4 linked regions of the Schizosaccharomyces pombe genome follow. Changing the gene in region 3 together with the main gene of any one other region gives a genetic interaction. Each region holds a gene or a part of one and is shown on either strand. Other genes may lie near its edges.

The links.
Region 1: mutations in shr3 (region 3) and pof8 together harm fitness more than expected from each alone (negative genetic interaction), as found in Schizosaccharomyces pombe (one large-scale study listed by BioGRID).
Region 2: mutations in shr3 (region 3) and ymr1 together harm fitness more than expected from each alone (negative genetic interaction), as found in Schizosaccharomyces pombe (one large-scale study listed by BioGRID).
Region 4: mutations in shr3 (region 3) and par2 together harm fitness less than expected from each alone (positive genetic interaction), as found in Schizosaccharomyces pombe (one large-scale study listed by BioGRID).

What each region holds. Positions count from the first base shown.
Region 1 is NC_003424.3:3,620,530-3,627,521, reverse strand, and holds pof8 (LARP7 family RNA-binding protein Pof8/Lar7), read right to left. Parts: upstream 3,800-6,992; 5' UTR 3,654-3,799; coding exon 2,445-3,653; 3' UTR 2,151-2,444; downstream 1-2,150. Other genes in the region: protein Rqc1, read right to left, coding at 1-1,948; cleavage and polyadenylation specificity factor complex endoribonuclease subunit Ysh1, read left to right, coding at 3,878-3,925, 3,980-4,066, 4,116-4,213, 4,347-4,475, 4,517-5,417, 5,462-6,008, 6,052-6,515; sideroflexin Fsf1, read left to right, coding at 6,865-6,927, 6,968-6,992. UniProt on the Schizosaccharomyces pombe protein: RNA-binding protein required for assembly of the holoenzyme telomerase ribonucleoprotein (RNP) complex. Specifically binds telomerase RNA ter1 and promotes assembly of ter1 with catalytic subunit trt1.
Region 2 is NC_003424.3:2,481,908-2,489,900, forward strand, and holds ymr1 (myotubularin family phosphatidylinositol-3-phosphatase), read right to left. Parts: upstream 3,010-7,993; 5' UTR 2,840-3,009; coding exon 2,816-2,839; intron 2,760-2,815; coding exon 2,184-2,759; intron 2,139-2,183; coding exon 1,059-2,138; 3' UTR 501-1,058; downstream 1-500. Other genes in the region: C-22 sterol desaturase Erg5, read right to left, coding at 71-203; ltc2 (BAR and PH domain-containing protein), read right to left, coding at 3,291-3,630, 3,729-7,030.
Region 3 is NC_003423.3:1,173,056-1,180,044, reverse strand, and holds shr3 (chaperone protein Shr3), read left to right. Parts: upstream 1-4,131; 5' UTR 4,132-4,179; coding exon 4,180-4,290; intron 4,291-4,679; coding exon 4,680-5,216; 3' UTR 5,217-5,565; downstream 5,566-6,989. Other genes in the region: mef1 (mitochondrial translation elongation factor G), read left to right, coding at 1-1,965; translocation subcomplex subunit Sec66, read right to left, coding at 2,606-3,184; mtx1 (metaxin 1), read left to right, coding at 5,961-6,989. UniProt on the Schizosaccharomyces pombe protein: Involved in amino acid permease processing and required for the efficient translocation of structurally related amino acid permeases from the endoplasmic reticulum to the plasma membrane.
Region 4 is NC_003424.3:1,331,507-1,339,960, reverse strand, and holds par2 (serine/threonine protein phosphatase PP2A regulatory subunit B-56 Par2), read right to left. Parts: upstream 4,459-8,454; 5' UTR 4,034-4,458; coding exon 3,641-4,033; intron 3,573-3,640; coding exon 3,329-3,572; intron 3,257-3,328; coding exon 3,060-3,256; intron 3,010-3,059; coding exon 2,615-3,009; intron 2,560-2,614; coding exon 1,905-2,559; 3' UTR 1,559-1,904; downstream 1-1,558. Other genes in the region: geranyltranstransferase Fps1, read left to right, coding at 261-380, 586-1,509; transcription factor TFIIIC subunit Sfc1, read left to right, coding at 4,818-4,931, 5,040-6,296; phosphoribosylformylglycinamidine synthase Ade3, read left to right, coding at 6,728-8,454. UniProt on the Schizosaccharomyces pombe protein: The B regulatory subunit might modulate substrate selectivity and catalytic activity, and might also direct the localization of the catalytic enzyme to a particular subcellular compartment. Has a role in cell shape control and septum formation.

The sequences.
Region 1 (6,992 bases), on a different chromosome or scaffold from region 3:
CTGTGCTTTCTTCTGCAGGTTCCGTCTCTGAGTTTGTTGATGTAAACAAGCTTCCAAAAAATGAACGTAGTCGGGTCATCACCGGAGTTCCATCTTCTGATTCTTCACCAACCTCCGATTCAATCTGTTGTAGCAATTGTTCAGCAGGAGGAAGATCAAACTCATGAGCAGGGGGTTCTTCCTCATTTTCATTAACTTCTCTTGCTCTGGATAAATAATCGGACAAGAACGACGCAATTCGACGAGATATATCTCTACCAAAGACTTGTGACTCGCTTAAATATGTATCAGGAGGTAGAGGATCAAAGGATAAAATAGTTCCTTGCAAGATTCTCTGTGGTAGAAATTTTCTCAAGCTTTGCTCATTTAACAGGATAACACGCCTAGAGAGATTTTCAGTGAGTTCTGCGAATTGTCCTTCTACATCGTGCAGGGTCACGGTTTCTTTTTCAAGAATGGAATTAATGAATGCTAATACCGTAGGATCAGACCAGCTATCCTTAGCATATAAAGCATACATAGCAGAATGTAACTCTTGAACTGGATCTTGAGGGGATGGAATAGAGGATTTTGTGAAAGAGATATTCAAAGTGTCCAACAATTCACTTAGCATGTAAGGTGCACGTTCAAAGGCGGCAAGCATACTCGCTCGTGTGTCGGTAGTATCACCATGTACGTAAAACATGGCAAGTGCTGACGAATATAACATATTTGGCGTGTCCGAAATTTTGTTTGAATTTTCCAGGTAATTCGCAAAATCAATTATCCAAGCAAATTCTCTTCGACGAAGTGCATATATATCAATACAAGTACCAATTGCGTAGGGGTCTGACATGTCGAACTGCAGTAAAGCTTTACAAAACTCAAAGACGGTTCTCCAACAACCCCGGCTTTGTAGACTTTGTAAATATCTCCAAATACAGAGGAAAAGACGCCGATTAGAAGGGATGGCAAAAGGAAGCCGCGTGGCACCAGTTGCAAGATTAAATCTAGGATGAAGAATACTGTCGAAAGCATAAAGACCGCGGGCAACAAGCTCTGCTGACAGTTCATGATCGCCCTGCTGATCTATTATTTCAGAAACTTGTAATAACGTGTCTATATGAAAAGGATGGGAGCGTAAAAGCATAAGTAGGTTATTAGGGTCATAGGTTTGCACGTAATACTCGAATGTCTCTTGAACTTCCTGGTAAGCACGACTCTGAGTGATTTCAAAAAAGCACTCTAAGTCTTGTGACTGACCGGTAAGTTTCATTCCAAGTCCAGATCTTACTAAAGGAGGCCATCCTTCTTGAGGCTGTACTAAAACATGGCGTTTCCTCCGCAGGTTATCATGTCGAGCGTTGACCGAACGTTTCTCAACGATGCGGCCAAAAATCTTACGTATTTCAAGATCAGGATTTAACATACTAATATTTACACCCAATAACTTATTCAATTTTTCATCAAGTTCTTTATCTAACGGGATAGTAGCAGATTCTTCGACACCAGCAACATGCTCAACCTGATCTTGCTCACGATATTTAAGTTTTAATTCAGCAGCAGCCTTTTCTATTTCATCAATATCATCATCAATGTTTTTGCTTGATTCAAGTCCCTCCAATTTCTCATTATCAGAAGATTGATTATCTAAATCACGCTTTCCAGTGACTTTCTTCTTCTTCTGCTGCTTTTTCTTTTTCTTTTTATTTTTTGCTTTCTTATTTGTAGAGACAATTGGAGACTCGCCTTCTACTAATGGTTCATCCTGCTCTTCCTCAGAAACACTTTTTTCTGCCTCTGAGTTAATAGCATTATTTTCTTTTTCGAGAATTTCGAACACGTTTACTACTTTTTTCCCGGAAGTTGAAGAAAACTCGTCATCCTCATCAGATTCACTGTCTAAAGCTTCTTCCAATAGCTCGGTTTGTCTTTGACGCTGAAGTTTCCGTAAAGCTCGTGAAGACATGAGAATGGTTTGTGGTAGACTAGAATGGCAGATGTAAGAATTTAACTCAGACCTATGAAAACACACCTCAATTTCAAGAACTTTTCGGTATGCTAAATTAATATATAACATACAGAAAATATTTCATTTTAAGACTGTTAGCAGTGAAGAATATTACGTTTCGTAGTTAAAAGGCGTTAAGGAAAATACAAGCCGGGAGCAACAATGATGTACAGAATATGTAATTAAAATCTAAGTAATAGAATTTTGCAATTGTGGGGTGGTAAACCGTTTTTACATATTTGTGGTTCATGGTTTATTGGAATTTTTGCTGATCGCAATAGGTTATCAGCCAAATGAAAATTAGAGGGGTTATTAATACAAAAAACTGTTAATGCAAATTTAGTATTAAAGTGAGAATAACGACCGTGTTACCTTTTTGTATGCCTATATTACCAGAATATATTATAAAGTAGTAAATAAATCAAATTAGTATTACCAGAGAAAGGAAAACATATTACTTTTTTAACATACGCCAATAATTCTTTTCTTCTTCTCCGGTAATTAGCTCAGCAATCAGGAATGGACGGCTAGATCCCTTTTTCCTATGTGCCCGAATATCATCATGACTGTTTTGTTTCCTTTCTTGTGTACGAAACGCGTTGATACACGTCTCAGCATGAAGCGGTGTTTTCCAACGTATTATCGCCTCTGTTTCGTCCTTCCTATAGTCTATATACATGGGCTCACATGCAATATTCTGAGTTTGCCGCGAAAAAACATAACTCAAGAGGCTGTGAATAGTAGATTTATTAGTTAAAGGATGGAGGTTCTTGATACGGGTCAAAAGATTCTTGGTAAAATCCAAATTATCTTCATCTTTATCAGTTTGTGAGGTTTTGGATACAGACTTGGTCATTTGTTTTTCTACTTTAGTAAGTTTGGGATAACGATTTTCAGGAAAGGAATTGGATGAATTTGAAACGTCTGAAGATGACGCTTTTACTAAATGGAGTTGATTTTCAAAATATTTTTCTTCACGATTTGTCCATTCTTTACGAGTCAACAGTACCCATCCAGGAGGGACAGGCAACTTGCTAAGTGCTGATTGATCAACCTTTTTGTACAAAATTACAAAAGCATAACCTTCAGGAGTACCGATAGCATCAACATAGGGAAGGAACTCTTTGAGGTATTTGCGAAGTTTCCCAGCCAAAAGTAAACTTTTATTAGACAGAGTAGCCGGAACTGGTTCAACGTAAATAATTCTATCATACAGTGGTATGTCAAGAGGAAGAACAATATTCTCATTTCTAATAACCATGTGTGAGGAATTATCGAAATGAAACAGCGCATTAGTAACATAAGATAAAGCATACTTCAAGTTATTTTGCGTTGGATTCGGGCGGATTCCTTTCCAGAAATCATCTTGCTGGATTAAAAAGGCCAAGTGCACTTTTTCTTTTTGCCTTTCTCGGTGAAAATAAATTTCTAATATAGAATCAACGGCTGATAAAAAGTCAGGATTTAACGGTTCAATAAGCTGTCTATCTTGTTGATTTAACATGAGTCCTCCGCTTATGGAATGACTTGGTTCTTTGCTGGCTTCATTATGTTTGTAATGCTCATCTTTCAATTTGTTGTTATTTCCATCTGCAATAGAATTATTTTCCTTCCCTGTAAATGCTTTAATTTTGCGAACATTCAGTTGCCTTGGCACAAACATTTTACTTCGCTCCTTAAAGTACGGTTTTCTAGTATCAATTAAAGTGAAGTCATTAATAATAAATAGAATTAGGTGCTCTTAATTAAAAAAAAAAGGGTTGTAAATTTTTGTTCTGCTTTCTCCCAATTTATGTTGAATGCGTAGGTGAAGAATAACTCGCGCTTGCCCAGCACCCACGACCTTGTCTTTCCAATTGTGGTTTTTAGACAAAAGCCCTTGGAAAGATGTCCAAAAGAAAGGAATTTGATGAAGATGCACCTGTAGACCCATCCGTAAGCCTTGAATTTACGATTTTTTATAAGGGCCTACTTTCTAACCAATGTCAGGATTTACTGGAGTTTATTAACTTGGGAGCCGGAAATGAAGTTGGTCGCAGTTGCCATGTTATTCAATACAAAGGGAAAACAGTAATGGTATTTTAATTTTTATTTTGTTATGATTGTGAATGCTAATTTTTGCTAGCTCGATGCCGGTGTTCACCCTGCGTATACTGGGCTTTCAGCTCTTCCTTTTTTTGATGAGTTTGATTTGAGCACTGTAGATGTACTTTTAATTAGCCAGTAAGTCCCTTTTGTACCACTACTTGAGACGACCATAGGTTATTAGATTAGAGTACTTCTTGTACCAATTACTATTATGGTCCCTTAGGCATTGATTCATTTTTTTTTGAAAAGTATTTCTAACTTAAGCAAGCTTCCATTTGGATCATGTAGCCTCGCTTCCCTATGTTATGCAAAAGACGAACTTTAGAGGTCGTGTCTTCATGACTCATCCTACAAAGGCAGTTTGCAAGTGGCTTTTATCTGACTACGTGAAAGTGAGGTATGTATTCTTAGCTCTGAGTATTCATTAACAACTCGCAGTAATGTAGGCATGGAAGATCAGCTTTACGATGAGAAAGATTTGTTAGCCGCTTTTGATAGAATCGAGGCTGTTGACTACCATTCAACTATAGAAGTTGAGGGTATAAAGTTTACACCCTATCATGCGGGCCATGTTTTGGGTGCCTGTATGTATTTTGTGGAAATGGCTGGAGTCAATATTTTATTTACAGGCGACTACTCACGAGAAGAAGATCGCCATTTGCATGTCGCTGAGGTTCCTCCTAAAAGACCAGATGTGCTGATCACAGAATCCACGTATGGTACAGCATCTCACCAACCAAGACTGGAGAAGGAGGCTAGACTGTTAAATATTATTCATTCCACTATTCGCAATGGAGGGAGAGTTTTGATGCCTGTCTTTGCTCTTGGAAGAGCTCAGGAGTTATTACTCATTCTCGATGAATATTGGAATAATCATCTCGATCTTCGCTCAGTCCCTATCTATTATGCATCATCGCTAGCGAGAAAGTGTATGGCCATTTTTCAAACTTATGTTAACATGATGAATGATAATATTCGAAAAATTTTTGCCGAACGAAATCCGTTCATCTTTCGTTTTGTCAAAAGTCTAAGAAATTTAGAAAAATTCGATGATATTGGCCCTTCTGTAATATTGGCAAGTCCTGGTATGCTACAAAATGGTGTTTCAAGAACCCTCTTAGAAAGATGGGCTCCTGACCCTCGAAATACGTTACTTCTTACTGGTTATTCTGTTGAAGGGACAATGGCAAAGCAAATTACAAATGAGCCTATTGAAATTGTGTCACTTTCAGGCCAAAAGATTCCTAGAAGAATGGCAGTGGAGGAACTTTCTTTTGCGGCTCATGTTGATTATCTTCAAAACAGTGAATTCATTGACCTGGTAAATGCCGATCACATTGTATGTTTAGTTACTAATGTAACGTTAAAATTAACTAATTATAGATTTTGGTGCATGGTGAGCAAACAAATATGGGTCGATTAAAAAGTGCTCTAGCCAGCAAATTTCACAATAGAAAAGTCGATGTCAAAGTATATACCCCTCGAAATTGCGTACCGTTATATCTTCCTTTCAAAGGGGAACGGTTAGTGAGAGCTTTGGGAAAGGTCGCTGTTCATAAACCAAAAGAAGGCGACATTATGAGTGGAATTTTAATTCAAAAGGATGCCAATTATAAATTGATGTCAGCTGAAGATCTTCGAGATTTCAGTGACCTTACTACCACCGTTTTAACCCAAAAACAAGTCATTCCATTTTTTTCGAGTATGGAGCTTGCAAATTTCCATTTAAAACAAATGTTTGGATATGTCAAACAGTCAAAAACAAAGGCAGGACAACCTCAATATACAGTAATGGACGCCATTACTTTGACTTTAATCCAAGAACATAAGCTTGCTCTTGAATGGGTTGGCAACATTATGAATGATACAATAGCTGATTCAGTAATTACTATTCTACTAGGCATTGAAAGCAGTCCTGCTTCTGTCAAGTGTAAGTCTGCGTTTAATGTGGAACAATTTCTAACCATTAATAGTGACGAGCCATAAATGTAACCATTTGCATTCGCATTTAGATAAGCCTCCAAAAGTATCAAAGGAGGAAGATCGTATTAAAAAGCTGATGATGTTTTTGGACAACCAATTTGGCGAAAGTATGACTAAAACGGAAAAGGGGGTTGAAATCAAATTTGAAAAATATGAAGCGTCTATTGATTTTTCGACTATGAAAGTTGAATGTTCAAATGAAGCGTTACGATCTAGAGTCGTACATGTTTTATCCCGTGCGATCAATACTATCCTTCCATTTTCTGAAGCTTCACAAAACGACGTCTCCGAAGATGATTTTGAAAATGAAGAATCTGACGATGATAAAATCTTTGAGCAGCAAACGAAAATAGAAGATGATGTTAAAAATGAAAATAAGACAGAACCAGTTGAAGAACAGAAAAGCGAAGAAAAGAATGAACAGCCCAACCTTAAGAAAGAAGAACTTTCTTGAAAATTATTTACGAACGAATCTTTGCCTTTCATAGCCATGACACTTTTATGGCTACCTTCATTTTTTGCTATTTAAGTCTCAGTAGTTATCATGCACTCTGGTATTTCTGTTAAAAAATGCTGTTTCTTAGTCATGCGTGATCGAATCTTTAATTTATTCTTGCCATTTACGTCAAAGACAAACAATTTAATAGCCATTCCAAAAAAATTGACTAGTACTTAAAAAAATGCTATAACTATTTAGATTTTTGTAAGGAAAACTTTTTTTGTAGCTATTATGAACTCCAAAGACACTACCAATCGGGTTAATTAAGCAAATTTTTGTACCGACTACCAACACCAACACCACAATGTCCAGCAATAAGCTGCCCACCTCTAAGTATGACTTGTCCACCTATTGGGGACGTGTTCGTGTATGTTATATTACTCTTTGTATTTATGCTAATGCGGCAGCACGCTATGGATATTACTGATCCAA
Region 2 (7,993 bases), on a different chromosome or scaffold from region 3:
AATGATGCTTTTCATCGTGGTATTTATGCAGCAGTTGATACAAAAAAATAATTCTCAATCTTTAACATACTTTGATCATAAGCAATGCAGACAGCCAAAAGGGCGAAGCAAATTGTCCATTTCGAATATTCAATTTCGTATCCCAGCACCCGAATAACGTTTCGGGCTGCAGGAATCAAAGTCTCAGTTTGATTCATCTCCATCGTTTTAAAGGAAGGAGCACGATGAATGAATCAACAAATCCAACTCGTTGGGTATTGGTGAAGGAAAAGTCCTTGTCGGGCTATCGGTCTTATATAGAAAATTACCGACACGCAATTATACGCTCCGAAATGAGATAGATAAATCTGGTACGATGTGAATCTTACAATAAAGTAAAAAAAAAAGAAAAGAAAAATTTAAAGTTATGAAAACTAATACTATAATTTCAAAAGCTTTCTTACTGCAGTAATTAGAAAGGCTTACTAACACTCACTATTATATTGAAAAAACTCGTTACTGGGCAGTCATTTAAGATCAGCTGTTAAACTACCAATCATGAGATGTGCAATCATACATACTATATATAAGCATCGCTTAGCATATCTACACCAAACTTTGTTAAGTGATTGCATGAGAATGCAGTGAATGGTCCGTTATACGAGTAGAGTAGAAGAACATTGGAAGAATTGATAAAATAAAAGTATCATAGGAACGGGATTCGTAGTCCAAGCGATAATCGTATAAAAGGGGATAAAAAAATTTTAGCATGGATCACCAAAATAAATGGAAGATTTGGGACGTAAACTTTCAAAATATGTATCAGTAAATTAAACGACTCTGTCGTCCTCTTCATGCGTTCATAGTCTCTCGCAAAAGTCCATGTAGATAGATTATCGGAGTCAACATGCGATGATGAAAAGTTGAATTAGGCAAAAGAGAGGCTAAAAAGAGAGAAAGAAAGAGATGCAATCAATCTAAATTGCGCTAAAATGAGCATAAAAAGGAATTAATAAAGAACTTCCAATGAAGACAAAAATGGAAGGAAAATGTCCAATGAAGATTTTCAAGTAAATGTTTCATAAAGACGGAGATTCGGAGGGTGATGGGATATTCATGTTTTCATCAGGTTGAGCAAAAGAAGCTGACCACCATCTCAGCGATGAAGGATCAGGCATTATAACATCATCATAAGGTACATAGTTAGGATTCTTGAATTCATCCTTCCGAGAAAGGAAATAGTCCCAGATACAACGAGTATGAGTGCTGACGGATGCTTGAGCTCGTTCCCGTTCAGAGTTGTATAGGAACGAACCGTATTGGCAAGAGTAAAGATGGTAAAGTAGACGGCGTAAAAATCTCTCGTTAAACTCGAAACAATTAGGAAATTGATCCATAATTTGCCAGACGCAATCTAAAAACTGATGAAAGACCGGAGACATCATTTTTTCGGAATGGTCAATTGAGAAGCCACTTAAAGCAGAGCGTACTGTTGAAAAAGTGTATTGTAAAGTCGAACTTGGTGAAGATTGGGGTGGTTCTTCTGAGTATGAGCTGTCGATTGTAAAAATACGTTTACCAGGTAAATGACAACATCTTTCTGCAAACCTATGCCCGAAGGAAAGCCAATCCTTTTCGACGAGAGCAAAAAATCCCTCAATTGTTCTATAGTAAGGATCCAAACACAATTGAGGTAGAGCACATAACTGGGAAGTTCTGTCCCATCCATCTGAGCAATGTACAAGTACATGGGCATGCCTAAAATGAACTGTTTTAACAATAAGAACCGCTCCTTGTAAAATGTTAGCCAAGTGCTTAAGCCAACTTGATCTGTTTAAGAGTTCTATCAATGGAGGTGCCGCACTAATATCTGTATTTTTAAGAGCATTCACAATTTTATTTAAAGAATCCCTCATGACGTGTATGTTATCAATTCCAAGATATATCTTCTTTGCAAAACGGTAGTGATCCATGTTTTCGCTTCCAGCGCCTACGGCAATGTTAGCCATCGCATTAGTAGAAGGCCTCGCATCAACTATAAGATTTTCTTTTCCAGGAATGATTGATGTTGCGAATATAGCTTCAACAAGTTTTTCATCCTGTGCACTTCGATTTTGACGAATACCCACAAGGGGTTGAGAGGCCCGCGTAATTGAAAACTAAATAAATTAGTATTAAAGCCTCTCAAAGTTAGTAAAACTTACAGAATTTTTATGGAGATACGTAAGGGTAGGAAATCGATTTTTAGATCTATATTTGCATCCATAATATATAACACTGTCAGAAATGCTAGCGGGAACGGCTAGAGCTTGCGGATAAGAATGGCACTCAGAGTAATTTTCGTTAATTTTAGTTATCCTCCAATTTCCGCCAGCACCATCAGCTTGGGTGGAATCACCTACTCCCATGCGCCTATATTCATTTTCAAGTAGAAATGATTTCCAAGAAGATGGCAGTTTCTCTTCATCTCCGGAGGGCATATAGTAAAATGCGTATAGCATATTTATTGAATTAATAGACATCAATTCCTGTAAAGTGTCGTATACGTCCATCGCATCCTCCGTGCTTTGAAACCTCCAACAAAAGAACATAAAGTCTCGGCATTGTATACGTATACAAAATGATTTTTCGTTAGAGCAAAGCTTTACATTATTTATCATGGAATATGCCGTCCAAATTTCCTTCCCATTTTCCGAGATTGAAAAAATAGAATGATACGCTGTCAAATGCAATGTTCCGTTCAATTCGTTTCCTTTGTTCACAAACTTCACATTTCCGACCTATTTGTTAATATTTTGATAAAATTAAGTTTTAGATCTAATCGCATTATGCTTACTTTTGCAACTTTGATGTTTTCCATCACACGGAAACTTCTTTTTATAAGCAATTGAATAAAATGAAGCAACCCTCGTACTATCAAGTACTGTGACAAAATATGAGTACAAAGAATTAAATATGTGTTTAGCGCAGAATGTAATTGCGTTCTACTTAGATAGATGAAGGTTTTAAACTATTTACGGTGGTGCTGTCGATTAATGCTGCCAAGTGCATGGCTGTAATCATTGCGGTTATCAAGGCTACAACTTGACATATCATTACCTTGTTTATTAAACAATAGAAAGGACGATTCTGAAAGATGTAGAGGAGTTACACTTATCTTTGGTATATATATGTTTAATAAATTCAACTTTATTAATTTGTGTATCTGACAAAAAAAAACGAGTGCTTGATCAAATAACTCATAAAACCCTAAATATAAAAAAGATAATAAAATAACAATAAAAATAATTAAGTTACAGTTTCATTAACAATTATGCAGCGTAGTCTGCGTTTTCCACAGTCTCGAGTGTCAATAATCTTGTAGCTAGAGTGTCTTTGCCGAAAAACAAAGTGCGGTTCCTCCAATCTTGCGTGCAAGAATCGCAATACCTTTGCATCGAGGGTGGGTATAAATCAAATTCCCTTGCTTTGTCACATCCCAACAGCTCTTGTTGAATGTATTGATATACGGCATCCTCGTGAATTATATATTCGTAATAGTTTAGAGACGCCAAATTTTCCAATATTTTTTTTCTTTTTTCTGCAATATAATTCCGTTTTCGTAACCAGTGACTTTTTTGAGGAGAACTTTTTAAAGCAAATGATTGTAAACTGTAAAAAGATTAGAATAATAATAATAACAAAAAAAAGATAATATAATGTACATGTAATCAACATTTATAATTACATGGTACTACTAACAAACTTACCATTCACTTGGATAAGTGACGTTGGGGTGCAAATAAGTAGGAAGTCCGACTAATAAATCATCAACGTCCTTCATATAAACATAACGAGCAGAAGTTTCAATATTTTTAAACTCATCGAAAACTTGCCCGACAAATTTGTTATTCTGTCGCTCATCCCAGTACTTAGCTCCAAAACAAAACATGAGAGAAAGGTTCAAGATAACCGAACAAGCAAAAATAATAACCAAAAATGAGTGAGAAAATAAATATCTTAGGAAAATGTGGAAGACAGCCCACGGCAGCTTTAGTAGATCAATTGCCAATCCTTGAAGAAAAAGCCACCAATTATTGCGAATAATATCGATAATTGACAGGTTTTTCAATTCACAGTTAAAAGGTATTTTTCTTCGATAAACCATCGATTCATTGTAGTCGCCTACTCTTCCATATTGATTTATTATCGCAATAAGCGGCTGATTTCTTGCTCTTCTAGTTGCCTTTTCCAAAAAGTTGACTTCCGTTTTTATATACTTGATAGCCAGTTTTCTACATTCAGCCTCAATAACCTTTGATATAGCAAAAGGTTTAACGATCCATTCAAGGCCTACAGATATGAGCAATCTAGACTTCTCCCTTCTAAGGTGAGATATAGAAGTTTTTGTCACGATTTTAAAGTAATCTCTATAAGGCAAAGTCCAAGAGTGATGAAGCCATGTCATAATGTATAAATGATAATCATTGCGGACGTCCATTATTTGGCAATCCTCATAGTGGTAAGATTGACATTGACCTTCTTGGTCGTAATTATAAACCTTATAATTGATGTATCGACGACTCAAATTGGTTTTTGGATCTTTTCCCCATGGTAAAAATTCGACATCATCTACTCCATGAAGATTGTAAGCACCAGACAACACGGTGCTTCTATCACCAAAAACAATATGAAACAATGCCTTAGTAGAAACATTGTACACTCGATCAAATACAATATCGTCCAGATGATGAGAACGAACAACTTGGACTGTCTCTTTCGGAAGCATAGCAATCTTGAAGTCCCTGAGGTCTTCCATAAATGAATCATTACTCTCATTCTTATTGATCAAATTAGTTAGCGCTCTACTACTCCTTCCTCTTCGAATAAGGAGATCTTCTTGAGATGGCTGTACCCCATAAGACTTGAGAGCATTATCGTCACCACCCCTTTCAAAGCGTTTTACATCATCATTCAATCTTTTGATACATGACAACAGTTGTATTGAACTGTTTGGTTTATCGGCAATGTAATTGCACAGTAACACATTAAGTCGGTCAGTTAGAGCTTTCGAAGAATCGAGATAGAGACGGAACCTTACAGTCCCAATGTTCTGGATATTCATGTAAAAATAATCACATTTAGTACTAGCAAATTGTTTTACGTTTAAAATGCTAGAAATGGGGAAATGCTCAATGAGGACCAATCCATTGATGTTGTAATATATGTAAATCCCTTTCATAGTGCAATACATTCGACCAGGCATACGTATTTGATCCTCTCTTTTACTACAAACACGGCATACAAATAAAACGGTAGATGCTTCCGATTCACCAAATATACCTCTAAATTCAGCATTCCTCAACTTAAGCTCAGAAGGAAGTTTTTCAATGTGAATTTCTCTAGCTAAACGTTTATAAGAAGGATTTGATAGATCTTCAATGTACACGTTCTGACGCTCTAAAACATGGCCGTAATTGACTGAACCCCAAAAATTTGCCAGTAAGGCGCAAGGAGAATTACCATGAAAAAAGGCTTCCTGGTCCAAAAGGCTGGTTATCGTTTCGTGAGTCAAATTTGTTATCAGTGGTGCATTGACTAGGGTCCATGGAGCAAGCGGATTAAGGAATTTAGCGCCATTTATGGAATTTGAAAGATACTTTGGAGGAGGAACAGTTGAAATTGTGGGAGATCGCATTATAGTTGAAACTTCATAATTGTTTGGACCACATAACAATCGTCCCGAATAAGTACGACGAGGACGATAATTTTTTCCTATTTTCCCCGTAGAGTTTGAGCGCCCATTGACTTGTGGATTTATAATTGATGTAGCTTTAGCAGAAAACGATGGTAAGGTAGGAGACAAGATTCGGTTAGCAGATATCCCGGAATTGATACAGTGTTCTCGAGCGTTATTTATTACGCTGCCCCATTCAAGCATTTCCATGTGAGTTTCGGCTTGCAGAATGTAGCTCACGGACTTCGTTTTTATTTGAAAACAAAATTTCCGATGATTGCTTGGTAAAACAGAAAACTTACACAGAAGGACTCCGATTTTTTCGCTCTCAAAAACACCACCATTGGCATCATTAATAAGATATCCGACATAGCCATTGTCGACAAAAAACCAGTATTTTCTCCAAATTGCTTTGTTATCTGCCTTGCTAGAACTGATATTTCTTAGTAACCACCCTTGACGTTTAGTTGCGTTTGTTTGACATATTTGCTGGGGATCGAAACGATATGCGTCTAAATTAGTTGGTGGCTGTACTCTCTTAAGAATTTCCTTCTCAATTCTATCAAAAACGTTAGATACTATTCTTTTTAGTGAAGGATAAGATTCCTTAAGTTTAGTTTCGTAAGAGAGTAAGCGAATTAGTTGATCATTTATATGCCTATTGGACTCGTGCAGACGATCAGTCAAACGAAACGTTTCAATTGAAAACTTGCAAATGCTTTCAATAACTATGAAATCAATGGATGAGCGAAAGGAGGTAACTCGAACTACGTATTGTAGAGCAACTGTAAAATAACTTTTACGAGCTTCGTATAAAGATTTTGCTTCATCCCGCATTTGCGATAAATCTTTTGAATGTCCAAGAGAAGAATACCTTAAGACTTCCGCATCATACTTGGCTTGCTCGGCTTTAAAGCGATCATTTAATTGAAGCAAAGGCTTAACTTTTGAATCTCGAAATAGATCTAATGGAGCAACAATAAATTTCCGTAAATTTTTAGCTTGTTGAAGTTGCACCATATATGACGACCGAAATAAGTCTTGACCGTGAAGCAAAGCGGTTGTTGCATAATCAGGATCAAAAAATCCTGAAGCAACATTAGAAGGCATAGCATTCAACGACATACTGGCGACAATGGGCTCTATCGCCATTATTGACTCGATAAACTTGTTGCAGCAACATAAGAAATCATGAGACCATTCGTTAAACGCTTTGATTTGATTCCCTAGATAATACATGCTCGCCCTAAAAGACGGAGAATCAATGCTACATTCGTTCAGTAAGACTGGAATAACATGATCCTTTTTTGAAGACGCATTTGCAGGAGCGGCCATGATTTTTCATTTCCTTCTATTAGTTTCCAAAAACTTCAATTCATATAAGAAAGCATTAAGAACGATATGTCCACTCGTCTAAAGGATGATTTTTAAACCGGTATATGCGCTTTCGGCTGTCGGATGCGGCATGTTTGTAGCGGCGTACTTGATGTTTTTGACTTAAGAGTGACGCTGCATTTTTTAACCAAGATGAAGCAATTCGTTATATTAGAATAACGATATTTAAGTACTTCTATTATAAGGTAAACAAATACGAAATAACTGAGTGTTAGAAATTTAATCACAAGGAAAATGTTTCAGCTAGCTAAGGAATTTTTACTTAAAATATATAAGTGAAATGATTCCATCCTTATACATATCATAAATATAAATACATTTACTATTAGAAAAATAAAAGTGCTTTTAATTTTTCGTTTTCTTCTTTTTTAAGTAAAATTTACTAAGAATGAGTTAGCCTTATTACAAAAATTGTGGCACTAATTTGTGAGCATAGTATCTTAATTTATACTTGATGTTTGCACTTAATCTTTTTTAAGTCATTATAAAACAATATACAAATTGAGCACGATCAATAACTGTAATGGTCAGGTTTGGTTGTACTTCAATTGGTATGTAAACAAAATATTTGGTAAAGTGGTTAAATAAATTTTATGAACAGTTAGGAATTATGTATATAGTAAAACAAAAGCATCTCTAAAATTATAAAAAATACCTAGATTTTTCTGTTGTGGGTAAATTACTTGTTACTTTTTTTATTGCCACATCTGGTTGCTATTTGCTTTCAAAATTAATTTTTAAAAAAAAAATTATTATAATGAGTAAAGGGTGCAACCTAGAAACATGTTCAGCTGAGCTTGTTAAAAATATTTGTTATGTTTATAATTTTGAAGTAGTGTATCTTAAGCACTTGCGATAGCGAACTAAATTTTTCTAAATCATTGACATTAGAAATAAAAAAAT
Region 3 (6,989 bases):
TCGGCTGCTACCCATTGCACTTGGGAACGTACTGTGGATCAGATTGAAGCTAACGAAAAACAAAAAACTGACTTTGAGAAAAGTTATAACATTAATATTATTGATACACCTGGTCACATTGATTTTACCATTGAGGTGGAGCGTGCCTTACGTGTGCTAGATGGTGCAGTGTTGGTACTCTGTGCTGTCTCCGGTGTTCAATCGCAAACTATCACAGTTGATCGACAAATGCGCCGCTACAATGTCCCCAGGATCTCTTTTGTTAACAAAATGGATCGTATGGGTGCAGATCCGTGGAAGGTCATTCAGCAAATAAACACAAAATTGAAAATTCCCGCTGCAGCTGTTCAAATTCCTATAGGTCAAGAAGACAAACTTGAAGGTGTGGTTGATCTTATACAAATGCGTGCAATTTATAATCGTGGGTCGAAGGGTGAGAAAATCGAAATTTCTCAGCAGGTTCCTGAGAATCTTATTGAACTAGCAAAAGAAAAGCGCTCAGCTTTAATTGAAAAGCTTGCCGATTTAGACGAAGAAATTGCTGATATATACGTAATGGAAGAAGACCCTACACCTGAGCAGCTTATGGGAGCTATTCGTAGAACTACACTTGCAAGGAAGTTTACACCTGTATTAATGGGTTCTGCCTTGTCCAATGTTGGAGTTCAATCTGTTTTGGATGCTGTTTGCGACTACCTACCCAACCCTTCTGAGGTCGAAAATATAGCTTTGAATGCAGCAGACTCAGAAAAGCCAGTATCCCTTGTTCCTAGCAGTGAGAAGCCGCTTGTCGCTCTTGCTTTCAAACTCGAGGAGGGAAGGTTTGGCCAGCTCACCTATTTGCGAATTTATCAAGGTACACTCAAGCGGGGTAATTACATTTACAATGTCAATTCTACAAAAAAAATAAAAGTTTCACGCCTCGTTCGTATGCATTCCAATGATATGGAAGAAATCGAAAAGGTTGAAGCTGGAGGGATTTGTGCGTTATTTGGTATCGAATGCGCTTCTGGAGACACCTTCACGGACGGTTCCGTATCGTATACTATGACTTCAATGTTTGTACCAGAACCCGTAATTTCACTTTCTTTAAAACCGAAGAGCAAAGATACAACCAGTTTTTCTAAGGCTTTGAATCGCTTTCAGCGTGAAGATCCCACTTTTCGTGTGCAGTTGGATAATGAATCGAAAGAAACCATCATTAGTGGTATGGGTGAACTTCATTTGGAAGTTTATGTCGAACGTATGCGTCGTGAGTACAAGGTTGACTGTGAAACGGGTAAACCAAGAGTTGCATTCCGGGAAACTCTTTCCAAAAAGGTACCTTTCAGCTACCTGCACAAAAAACAATCTGGTGGAGCCGGTCAATATGCAAAAGTAGAAGGGTACATTGAATACATGGATGGTGTGGAAGACGAATCTGGAAACGTTGTTGATTGTGAATTTATCAACAAAGTTACCGGTGGAACAGTCCCTACGCAGTATATTCCAGCTTGTGAAAAAGCTTTTTACGAAGCATTGAAAAAAGGATTTCTCATTGGTCATCCTATAAAAAATTGCAGGTTCGTTTTAGAAGATGGTGCTTATCATCCCGTTGATTCCTCTGAATTGGCATTTCGTTTAGCCACCATTTCTGCTTTCCGTACAGCTTTCTTGCAAGCGAACCCAATGGTTTTGGAACCAATTATGAACGTAAGCATAACGGCGCCTGTTGAACATCAAGGTGGTGTAATTGGTAATCTTGATAAGCGTAAGGCGACTATTGTCGATAGCGATACAGACGAAGATGAGTTTACGTTGCAGGCGGAGGTCCCTTTGAACAGCATGTTTTCTTATTCCTCGGATATACGAGCCTTGACTAAAGGCAAGGGTGAGTTTAGCATGGAGTTTCTCAAATATCTTCCAGCACCAAAATATGTGCAGAAGGAACTTGTTGACGCGTACAACAAACAACAACAAAAATAATTTTTGAAGTCCGTTTTAAATGAAGCAACAGCAAAGTTTTTGGTAACCAGTCATTTCTATTTAAAAAAAAAAATTTTGATCCACTCTCCTCTTTACTAACGCAGCAATCTACATGCAAATAAAAAAAATAAATACCCAGATTATTACCATACAAGTAATGTACAATTTTTTTTGTGCAAGATAGTTCATGGAACAGAGAATGAGTATATTAAAGAATATGAAGAGTAAATTATAGACCAACTTATAAAGGCTGAGCTCTTAACGGAGACATTTTGGCCAGAACATACATTTGAATTCCAATAACTTGTTTTCAAATAGTGCTTTTTTCTTTTTCCTTCTTTCTTTCCATATTTTTGTTATTGGTTTGGAAAAAAAAGGGAGTAGGAATAGGATGATAGATAATATGAATAGGAAAAAAGTATGACTTTCAATATAAAGGTAAGGACAGTGATAAAGCAAGCCCCCTTTATGGAGTCTATTACTGAATTTGATTTATGAATGAGTTCTAAGGATTATTGTATAAAATAGGAATTTTAGTTTCAAAGAAAGAAAAAGATAAGAAAACGTAAAACATCAGATGCAAGAAAGAAACAGGAAAAAAAGAATAAAGGCACATACGAACATCTTTTTTTAAAACAATTTATAGCACTCCAAGTTCTTTTTGGGCTTGAATACGCAATTCCTCATCAGCGGCTTCATACAGAATTTTTTCGGTTTGCCAACGTTGCGAAATAGAATCAATGTCCTTGGGAATATTATCAATTATGCTGTGAATTTTTTCGTTTTCAATTATTTCATTGCAAGTTTGGAATATAAACTGATTCCATCCAGGCTGCAATGAATTGGCAGTTTTGGCAATATCCATCAACTCCAATTCAGTTTCCTTTTCCAAACGACCAAACTTACGAATTAGCTCGTCACCAACGCCGCCGCGGTTGAGCAAATTATTCAATGCCATTCTCGATACTTTAAGCTTCATCAATCGACGAAGACCTTCTGTAGCCCGTAAAACGAGAGCAGCTTTCAAAAGTGTATCCTCGGCAGGTGGATTCTGCTGCAAAAGACTGAAAAATATATTTCTAGAATAATTTTCTCCAAACCATTCTTCTGATACTGGTTTTGATTCCTGATTTTTGGATTTTCGCACAAAACGAGAAACTCCATACATAGAGCCCATTAAAATGGTAATATATATCAAGGGAACGTAAATCGACACCATATTGAATTAATTAACACGGCCAAGTATGTAAAGCAAGCAGGGACCTTTTTCTTTAACAACTCGTATACCCTTTTTGTATTATTTGTTTTTTGCAGAGTGGACTGCAAATATGTATATGAGATATAACTTCGAGACCAAATGAATGCAAGACCAGTTTAGGTGTGAAAGGAGAATAGTGTGTTTTCTGGAATGCTTTATATTTTATAAGGTTGATGTAATTTTCTGTTATTTGTAGATAAGAGATATTTATGTTTTCTTAAAGACGCTAAAATATTTTACGCGATGCGCTATTAGATAAACAAATCGATCGGATATTGTTCAATTGTTTGTTTAAACTCAGGTAAAAGTTTTTAGAATTAGAAATGAAAAAAATTTACTAATAGGGAACTAGGATAATAAACAATTGAGCATTTTAGAAACAGATTTTGCGACCATTGTGAAAACTGACGAAACATATAGTTAGGAAGACAAAAACACCTCATTTATGAAATTATTTCTTTTTTTCAAGTATACAAAGGATCTTTGTATGTTCTTCTATATTGTTTCTGTAGTTTTATTAGTATTTTTACATATCGAGGCATTGGCATTCATTTGTTTTATTTACAGCCAATTAATAAATTCCCTTATTTTGATATAAGCTTTACAGTCTCGCTTAACTTGAAAACGCTATGATGTTGTGTATTCAGTTACAATAAATAGTGACATACAATAGTCGCTCAAATATATCTGGTTATATTTTATATTAAATAATTTTGCCAACTGATTTATCTTGGGTTGATTTTTCTTATTCGTGAGATTTAGATAGCCGTTCATGATGTTTTTCTGCATACAATGCATATTAGTGGAAAATGCGTTCGATTTCCTTATACTCATACAATCCTTTAGACCGTCGAAAGCGGAGTGGTATCACTTTGGTATAAAAAGGTAGTCTTAATTAACCTACCACTAACGTATATTTTCATTAACAAAAAAAAAGTTTATTATCATTATTCAAGATGGCTAAAAGATCCATATTTCGTTTTGCTGATGAAAAGGGCTTGAAGGTCGCTGCCCGTTATGGAGTCCTTATGTCAACTAGTTTTATTTTTGCTTTACTTTTCCACAGCGTATGTTCCAATCAAATTTCTATTTTATTCTAAGATTATTCATTTGAAAATCAACTTTCATTTGATATCAATTTCGTTTAGCTTTTGGAGACAAAGGGAGCAGAATATGAGAAATTATAAGTCGGTACTTTGAGTGAATTCTGAATTTGTTTTACAAAACATGCATTGTTAAAATAAATCTGGAAAATTATTTTATCAGGAACGTTTCTAAAAAGGAGCTTTTTGTCTGTTTAAGTTTTCATAATCGGATACGAGCATTCATCTTACCGCTCAATGTTTGCCGCGCTGCTCATTTTTCTGTTGTTCTTATGTTTTTGGAGCTTCACTTCGAATTGATTACTTTGTTCATAGTCTTTATTTTCTTAGCATAAATTACTAATGTCATTTAGAGCGTTGCCGATGTGAATACCTTATGGAGTCCTGGCCCTGAGTCTGCTTTCGATGCTGCTGAAACTTACTATACTTTGGTGGCTGGATCCCATTTCATTGTAAAATATACTGTATATACCATCATGGGACTTAATATGATTTTCCATCTTATTCAAGCCACTGGCGCTAAAGGTGATGACAAATTGTTCTTTTACTCTAGCACGCTTCTTTATCTTACTGCACTAATTTTGTTTATTGTTAATGTTGCTCCTTCTATGTTGGTTGTTAAGCTACAGAATTATGTTCAATTCCCACGAAATATGCACTTGTCCGTTCTTGCTGCTTCTCATGTTCTTGTTGAATTTCTTCTTGCTGGTGTCATTCTTATTCAACTTGGATACGTTTTCGGATATCATGTTCAAAGTATCCAGCAGCGCGAATACGCTGAAGATATGAGGGAGCAAGAATTAGCTGAAAAGGCTAAATTGGAATCCGAGTCTGCTACTACTCAGAGTGTAGAAACTGTTTCCACCGAATCTGTTTCAAAGCGCAAGTAAACAAACCACTTGGGTCTAATTTTACAACTTTTGGAATAGAGTGAACTATTTTATATCTTGCTAATTATTGTTGCTAGTCCGTCATCAACTCTTTGACGCAAAGTTTATGTCTAACTAGAAAGCAAAGAGTGACTTGCATTGACGGTAACTGGGAAAGCTTACATGTGTATTCATACGTACAATTATATATATACAAGATTTATACTGTCTTATATAAGAAATAAATTGACTTGAATTTTCGATAGAGGAATAGTTCGTTATGTTTGGATTTAGAATAGTCTTTAGCACACTTATACTTCTTAATAATTAAATATGTACTCATTGTGCAAAAAGGATTATCACAAGTGAAGCTTTTGTGAGATTGTATATTCTTCTATACTATGGATGCATAAACAAAGTCTCATTTTAGATGGGTTTTACGCTGCAGATACAGCAGAAGCGCCATACAAATATACTAAGTAAAATCTCAAAGTTCAAATGCTCAATCGATTTATTGTGCTAATTATCGATGTTTAATTCACTTTTTAACAACTAATAAATAGGTAACAATGTTACTTGTTCGTATAGCTTACTTGACTGCATAGCATCAGAATGATAATTGTAACTAGCTTCAGCGAATTTGGTAAGTTGGACTAGTTGGTTAGTTATTACCTTTTTTTTCTTTCTTCTGTGTTTCTCTAATCTCAACCCTACTGTAGACGGTAACTTTTTCAATTCATTCGTTCGGGTCATTTTTTGATCAAAATGTTGCAACTTTTCATTTATAGCCCAGGACTTGGGCAACCAACGATGGATCCTGGATGCTTAGCGGCATTAATTTATTGCGCACTTGCCGTCCCAAAGGACGAAATTGAAATTCTTCGCACTGCAAATTCAGGTATGAGCCCTACCCATAAGCTACCAGCTTTGTGGGATGGTCATGTTTGGATTGGATCTTTGAAAAACATTTTAATATACTTGAAACAGAAGGGCTATAATTTGGATAATTTTGATGCGAAACAGCTGGCCAATGTTATGGCCTTCACCAGTTTATTGGAAGGTTCCGTCAATGACCTTTGGTTATTAGAAGCCTTTGTTAATGAGGAAAATTTTGTTGAAGCAATAAGACCTGCTTGGTCAAAGGCACTTAAATTTCCTCATAATTATTTGACACCCAATGCTTTGCAACGGCAAGCAAAAGAACGCTTGGCTCAAACACTTGGTATTCGCGACGAAGAAGTCTCTTATGAAGCATCAAGGATGCCTATTTCTCATAAATGGACTAATGCTACTAGACATAGGCAAGCTCTACTGCGCACGCAAGCTCGTCGTATAAGAATTTCGTCATTAGCTCGGCAGGTATATGGTTCGCTTGAGTCCCTGATTTCAGATTCAAAATTTATATTCGGTGAAAAGCCAACATCTCTCGATTGTTTGTTTTACGCCTATTTATCTTTCCATGCTTTCACCAATGAGCTTCCTCAAGCAACTTTGCGACCATGTTTGCAATTCAACTCTCCCAAGCTTTATGCCTATCTCAAATCTTTACGCGAAACCTGGTTTTCCGATGATTCAAACATACTTTCTCCTTTATCGATTAAAGTTCAACCCGAAAATCTATTGACTATAGCTCGCCTTGCTTGGAACAATGTTACTGCCAAAGCAAATGATACAAGGAAATCAATTACTAAGTTTAGCGTCCCTCCCGAAAGGAAACTGCTGTGGGCGAGGAATGGATTCTTTATTTTTGCATCCGCTTTCAGCTTTGTATGGTTTGTCATCAGCAATGGTATA
Region 4 (8,454 bases), on a different chromosome or scaffold from region 3:
AGCGCATCCACTAGGTTAGTTTAATCGCATCGTCTACCATTGACTAGTTTCCTTTTTTTTTGAAGTAGTTTTGAGTTTTCAAGTTCTTCGTTGTAAGTGATAAATTTTTTAAACATTGAAAAATGTTCGTGCGTTTTGCTATTTAGCAGCTCAAGGTATTGGAATTTTGTTCCTGACAACCGAGGGTTACGCTTTTGTATGATTATTGTTTGATGCAAAACGCATTTGTTATTTCATTGAAACCCTAACCAAATTCTTAGATGTCTGCAGTTGATAAAAGAGCAAAATTCGAATCTGCTTTGCCAGTTTTTGTTGATGAAATCGTCAATTATCTCAAAACTATCAATATTCCTGACGATGTCACAGAATGGTACAAGAATGTATGTGAGTGTAGAGTTACAATATTTTCCAATGTCAATGAATGTTTCTAAAACATTGATCTCTTAAAAAAAAAGTGTTATACTTTGCGCTGTTTTTATTGCATCGGCATCGTGTCATATCATCTGTATTTTAATTAGATCACATCAATTTTTTATTTCTTTTTGGGAACCTCGAATAACACATGACTAACTGCTGTTTTTGTAGAGTCTTTTCCATAACACATTAGGTGGAAAGTATAATCGTGGATTATCTGTTATTGACAGTTATGAAATTCTTCTTGGACATCCTTTGGACGAAGCAGCGTACATGAAAGCAGCTGTTTTGGGATGGATGGTCGAGTTGCTTCAATCTTTTTTCCTTATTGCTGATGACATTATGGATGCTTCCAAGACTAGAAGGGGTCAACCATGTTGGTATTTAATGCCTGGCGTTGGTAATATTGCTATTAATGACGCGTTTATGGTAGAATCTGCTATTTACTTTCTTTTGAAAAAGCATTTTCGTCAAGAGTCATGCTACGTTGATCTAATTGAACTTTTCCACGACGTAACTTTTCAAACGGAATTAGGGCAGCAACTCGATTTACTTACTGCTCCCGAAGACTCCGTCGATCTTTCGAAGTTTTCTCTTCAAAAGCATTCTTTCATTGTAATTTACAAGACTGCATTTTATTCCTTTTATTTGCCTGTCGCATTGGCAATGCATCTCGCTGGTGTAGCTACTCCTGAGAACTTGAAATGCGCCCAAGACATCCTTATTATCCTTGGTAAATACTTCCAAGTTCAAGATGATTATTTAGATTGCTATGGTGATCCTACGGTAACTGGTAAAATTGGGACTGATATTTTAGACAACAAATGTTCTTGGATTATCAATCTTGCTCTCGCAAAGTGTACTCCTGAACAACGTGTTATTTTGGACGACAATTATGGACGTAAAGATAGCGAAAGCGAAAAGAGAGTTAAAGCTGTTTTTGAGGAACTCAATATCCGTGGTGAATTCGAGAACTATGAGGAATCAGAAGTTTCTGAAATCAAAAAGCTAATTGATGGAGTTGATGAATCAACCGGTTTGAAAAAATCCATATTTACCACTTTCTTAGGAAAGATTTACAAAAGAAATAAGTAAATTTCTTGTTCTATGTTTTTATTCGACTCAAATTGGCAATTGCGCTGTAGATACTTTTTAGAGAATACATCCATTGTTGACAATACCAACTTTTAATATTGAATCATTGTATTGGTAAAGGACCTGCAAAATACTACATAACTTATATCATTAAAAATCCAGTTCTCATGAGGCGTATTAAAATATGTAACAAAAGGTGGTAATACGACTCCAAAATGAATCTTGACACTAGTATATAAAATGCGGTGTATAAAAGATAGCAAAAACAAAATGAATCCCAATTGGCGTTTACGCGTATAAACAGGGAATTTCTAAAGATTACAAATTAAATAAACTTTATTCTCTGCCGCGACCAAATAGTTGTAACATATATAAACATATTCCTTACGAAGGAATTATCTTAAATAATCAGTGGGTTTGTTTTCCGCCGCTAATGCCTCAATCTGACACCATTGCTGTTTTCTAATAATCATAACTTCTTCTTGCTTTATAATGGCCTGTTTATAATCCTCAACAAGTCCATTAAAAAAGTCCGCATCCATATCGACAAAAATTTGTAAAACATTACAAGCAATAGCTTGTATAGTGCTATTCCAATGCTCATTAGCAGTTTTGTAAAGAGAAGGATATATTATAGGGAGAAGGGTTACTACGTTTTGGCTGACAAGACTTGTGAAGTACTCATTGCTCCACAGACATAAGGCACGTTCGGCGACCTGGAAATGCATACTAGATATTGAGCGAGCTAGTTGCTGAAATAAAGGGGACATTATATTAACAAATTCGGAAGGCTCCAAAACTTCAAAGATATCTTCAATTTCATTCAAAAACAGTAATTCTTTAAAGCTGTTTATTCGTGGCCAGTACTTAAGAATGCCAGTCAAGACTGCCTTCGTTAAAGAAGGATCTTTATCGATAAACTGAACAATGCAATACGTAAGTTGGGGATGGTATAAAAAAACAGATTTAGTTTGATGTAAAGGAATAAGCACTTTGGACAAAAATATTTTATGTTCTTCTTTTAAAGGTACAGCAAATCCATTAATAATACTAATAAGTTAGTTTGTAAATCAATTTAGGAACTATAACCATTAATGAAACATACCTTCCAAGTATCTCCAGTAGTTCAGCGATTCCATGAAATTTTTCTCGTTCATAAATGAATTGCAAAAAAACATTATTCATAGACTTTCTAATGTATGACCTAAGGTTCAGAAATTTTCCGTAAATCCTATGTAATGTTGTTTTCAGAAGTTCGCGCTCACGCGGGTCTTCTGTGTCAAATAGTGCTAGCAAGCGATTAAAAAACCTACGATCAACGAGCGATTTTGCTTTACTGGCTCTAAAGTCAGGAGATTCTAGGAACTTAATAAATAATAAATACACCTCTTCCAAGTGAGGCCACGCTGGCTCCAAAAAAGGCTCATCGTCTAAAGCAAACATATCTGATGAATAATCATTAAGAGCAGGTGATATAGGCCGAAATACATTGAGGGAAAACTATAGTGATTAGATTTTTACAGTAATAAAAAGCAGAGGAGTAAACATACTGTATTGACAACATAAGGAAAAAGCGATGCGGAAGAAATACCGCGGTTTTCAGACACATAATCTATCATTTGTAATAAGGCTTCTCTTTTTATTTCTTTGCTAGCCAAATCGGAAGATGGATCATTAAAATCGAAAATAATATTGCATTGTTCAAGCTTCTTTATAAACAGTTCTTCACGTTCAGAGGTATGAACATCTAATTATATTAGCACAAGAATAAAAAAAAGTACATTATTAAAATAAGATATAAGAATCTTACTAAACGTACCATCAAATGAAGGCAACCGAACTAATGTTCTTTTCTCAGATACTTGAAATTGAGAGGAGTGTTCGCGTCGAGGTACTGGTCTAAGACTATGCGGAATGTCAACATTCTCAGCACCTGCTAAAAATTTATTTAAGGGAGTTGGCTGTGAAACTAAATAAGGAGGAGTGGATTGTGGGACAGATAAAAATGAGGCAGAAGATATGGAATCATTAGGAAATTCGTCTATGTTAGACGATACAGAATCCTACAAGTAAGTTAGTATGAAAATAATCATTTTGGTAGAAAATATTAAACTAACCGACGTATACTTACATTTTTTGGTTCTGGATAATTAGGTGGGAAATGGTTGGCGTCTTTAACTTTAGAAGTTTCAATTACGGGCAAAAACGTAGAGTAATCAGAATCCTCATGTCCAGATGCTAGAACCGTCGTATGTATTTTTTTATCAGAATTTTCATGTTTTTCATTATTTGAGTTGGCATGATGATTTCGTTTGTGCTTTAAAGTATCTTTTAGGAAATGACTCTTAAGTTTTTTAAGCTCGTGTTTTGAAGAATGGTGAGTGTCTGTGTGCTTCACGTCGTCAGTTTCCACGTAAGACCCATTTTTAGAGATATAGTGGCTTTTTGAATGACCATTTTTATGTGACCCTTGTTCATCCTTCAACGAAAGTGCTTTTACAAATTTACTCCTTAATCCTTTCATTAAAAGGCAAATGAGATGATTTCCTTGCTCAATTGCAAGTTATAAAGATAGCGAATAACCAAATTTAAAAAACGAATGATTCCTAGGATTGGGACCGAATGTAATTTCGAAACTTAAATGAATGCACCTATTACTGAATATGTAAACGTTGTCTTTCTTCAAAAGAACGTCTGTTAATAAATTTGTACACAATGATGAGTTAGAAAAGGGTAAATTTATGTGGTGGGTAAATAAATGATTTGTTCCTTTCAAGTACTCCGTAAATATGTCTCGGCAAGTCAAAGAGTTAACGGCAACAACCTCGGTAACAGAATTCTGAGCCCCTTTATAAGATGGGTATATAAGCTAAACACCCTAGGGAATAGTTAAGAGGGTTAACCTTGAAACTTCCTGTAATGACAACTTTACTATGAGTTATGTTTGGCAAATGAAGCAAAACGGGGCGAGTGGCTCGAATGTTATGGGACGCTACCGAAGGCTGGTAGTATGAAATAACGTACTTGGGAAATTGGCTGGTACTGTGAATTAACGGATCGGCAAAAATCTTGTGTTATGATGTTACTGTATTGTTGTACGATGTCCGAGGTTTGGAACAACATTATTTTAGCTGCCAAAAAATTAAAATGCTTTTGAAGCAATGATATTGATGTGTATCAATTAATTTTTCATTTGAGGAATAAGTTATCCAGATTATTAATTAAATTACTTTAAAAGCAAATATATATAAAGTCTTTGCCCTACTTTTTCCAGTGTTTTATAGCATACCATATTAGGCATATATCTTATGAATAGTCTAAAAATTTCTGACAATGAATATGCACTCATTGAGCATCCGGGCTTTGCTAATAACAAGGATGCATTTTTTCAGACATTAGGCGGTGTTCAATCAATTCAAAAGGTAAATTGCTAAAAAAGTATAGGAATGACCGGCTTACATCTTTAAGCTTCCCCTTTTATAAAACATGAATTTGATAATCTTTTTTGACCTAATACTAACAATTTCTAGGCATGTCAAACTTCATTTCAAAACCCAAAACAAGCTCTGTTGGAGTTGAATCTAAGGCCTAAAGATAAATACCATCATCCAGTACAAGCTCGAGTGCAATCCAGAAATGACCTATTAGTAACGATTAAAAAAATGGACAACTCTGTGCAAAATGTCAGTAGAATTCGTCAAGTTTTCTTATTCAGAGATATGGCTGATTTCCAGTATAGTACTCAAAATTCACCATTCGTTCAAAAATTAGATTCCACTCTGCGAGTGCTTGACTATAACGCCATTAATAAGTTTTCCATCGATCTAACTCCGGTACAAAGAAAACATGTCGACATGCCTCCTCCTCCTGTTTTCTCTCAGACAAGTCTACCCATGTCTTATAACTTCTTGCAAAATCCACTAGTAGGTCGAGTTCGGCTACCTAATGGGAAAACTACAATAGTCAATCTAAAAGGTCAATGCAGAGTTTGGATTATCACTACAAATATGGGGGTTGAAAGTGTACCTACATGTAGACACTCAAAATTAGGTGAGCCTTCGAAGACAATTCAGGAAGTTATAGAAGCTTTAAAACCTCTTTTTGAAAAACGACCCGTTTGGACGAGAAGAGCCTTATTAAATCATCTAGACCCGTCATATACTCACTATTTGAAATTTGCTCTTCCTTACCTTTCTTATTTATGGACTTCAGGTCCATTTAGAGATACATATACGCGGTTTGGATACGATCCTAGAAAAGATTCTAATGCAGCTGCTTACCAAGCTTTGTTCTTTAAACTCAAGCTAAATGGAAAACATAAAGGGACTAAAACTCACGTGTTTGATGGCAAGACTTTGTTTCCCACTAATCGTGTTTATCAAGTGTGCGATATCGTAGATCCCACAATTGCACCACTACTGAAAGATACTCAGTTACGTTCTGAATGTCATCGGGACACAGGATGGTATAGAAGCGGTCGTTACTATAAGGTTAGAGATCTTATGCGTGAAAAACTCTTTGCGCTGATCGAAGGAGAAATGCCTTCTGAAGTCGCGGTGAATATGATTTTAAACGCCGAAGAGGTAGAGGAATCTGACAGATATTCGAATTTTGATGAACAGGATAATACAGATTTAAATGATACTGTTAGAGGTTTGAATACTTCAGCAACAGATGATCGGATAAATGATTTAATGAGGAATTTAATGAAGAGAAGTCAAGAACATGAAGGCTTTGAGGATTTAGAGGAAATTGATGATGACTACGATGATATATTTGGTGATTGAACCCCCCCCCATGTCAAGGTACTTCGATACAAAAAATTATACTCAACTTAAATTTCATTATATTCTTTTTTGTTTAACTGACCATGGTAAATGGCTTGTAAAACATAACTTATGAGTAGGTTTCAACTATCAATTGTTTCTGATCTTTAATTCTCATTTTTTAATTCTGAAGTAGCTCGCTTGATTTTGTGGTTACAAATGTCAATAATTTTATCAGATGTTTAATCTTACAGCTGCTTAGTGGTGCGCTAGTCGATTGCCCCCGGATGAACCAAACAATAATACTACGCTGCATAGCGCAATTTAAAGTACATATTTTTTCCTGACTTGTTAGTACATAAACTGAGCCAACCTATTTGGCGAGGTTGTAATTGTATCTCCATTCTACTATTTCAATAGTACTTTTGGAGTTTGTATCATTTTAGACGAAAATGTTGGTTTATTATGGTGGATCTGCCTTGAGCGTTCAGAGTAAAAAAAAAATTTTGGAACTAACAGTTTCTGGAGTTTCTGATCTAAATGCTGTTTATTTCTACTTGATCTATACTAAGTCCAATTCTTCTTTAAATTGCGAAAGTCTGCGACCAATTTTGTCTGATTTGCAAGAATCTGAATTCAAGCCTGATGGAACAACGATGGTATATGTGTTTCCACGTCCAGGAACAATTTCTCCTTGGTCATCCAAAGCAACGAACATTGCCAATGTTTGTGGATATAAAGATGTGATTCGTATAGAGAGAGGTATTGCCTATTCAGTAGTTTTTAAAGATGACATTTCAGAAGAGATGCTTAAATCTGCTTTGAATCATCTTTATGATCGCATGACTGAAGCTTTAAGATTTAAACTTCCGGAAGAGGATGAAGTTTTTGATAAGCACGAACCAGCTCCACTTGTGAGAATAGAGCTTAACTGTGGGCAAGGTGGTGACAAGCAGGCTGCAACCGAGCGATTGAATCATGCCAATAAGAAGTTTGGATTAGCTTTGGCACCTGATGAAATTGATTATTTGGTTGAGTGCTATACCTCAGAGCCTAGTTTAAAGAGTCGTGAGCCTACAGACGTCGAACTTTTCATGTTTGGTCAAGTTAACTCAGAGCACTGTCGTCATAAAATTTTCAATGCTGATTGGACTATTGATGGCGAAAAGAAAGACTACAGTCTATTTAAAATGATTAGAAATACCCATTTAAAAAATCCCCAATATACAATTTCTGCTTATTCTGACAACGCCGCTGTCTTTGAGGGAAATTCGGGAACGTTGTTTGCTCCAGTCAATGGTATCTGGTCAATGAAGGATGAACCGGTTGAGTTTCTTGGTAAAGTTGAAACACACAATCATCCTACCGCTGTTTCTCCTTTTCCTGGTGCCGCTACCGGATCAGGTGGCGAAATTCGTGATGAAGGAGCTGTCGGGCAAGGCTCTTTATCCAAAGCGGGACTTGCCGGTTATAGCGTTTCAGACTTAAACATTCCTGGTTACAAGCAACCTTGGGAGTTGGATGTTGGAAAACCTTATCACATTGCTACTTCTCTTGATATTATGCTTGAGGCTCCAATTGGCAGTTCGGCTTTCAATAATGAATTTGGACGTCCTTGTATCAATGGCTATTTCCGCACATTTTGTATGGAAGTTCCACGCGGCGATGGAACTCTTGAGATACGTGGTTATCATAAGCCAATTATGGCCGCTGGTGGTATTGGCCGTATTCGCAAGCAGCATGCTTTCAAAAAAAGTATTGCACCTGGTAGTCCTATTATTGTTCTAGGAGGTCCTGCTTTATTAGTTGGTTTGGGTGGAGGAGCAGCATCCAGTATGAATGCTGGTGAAGGCTCTGAGGAACTAGATTTTGCATCTGTTCAACGTGGTAACCCTGAAATGCAGCGTCGTGCCCAAATGGTTATTGATGCTTGTACAACTATGGACGAGAATATAATTCAGTCAATTCACGATGTCGGTGCTGGTGGTGTATCCAATGCTTTGCCAGAATTGGTTCATGATGCTGGTTTGGGTGCCCGGTTTGAATTACGCGATATCCCTTGTATTGAACCTAGTATGTCCCCTATGCAAATTTGGTGTTGTGAGTCGCAAGAGCGTTACGTTTTATCAGTTAAATCAGAAGACCTGGATACTTTTAAATCCATTTGTGAAAGAGAACG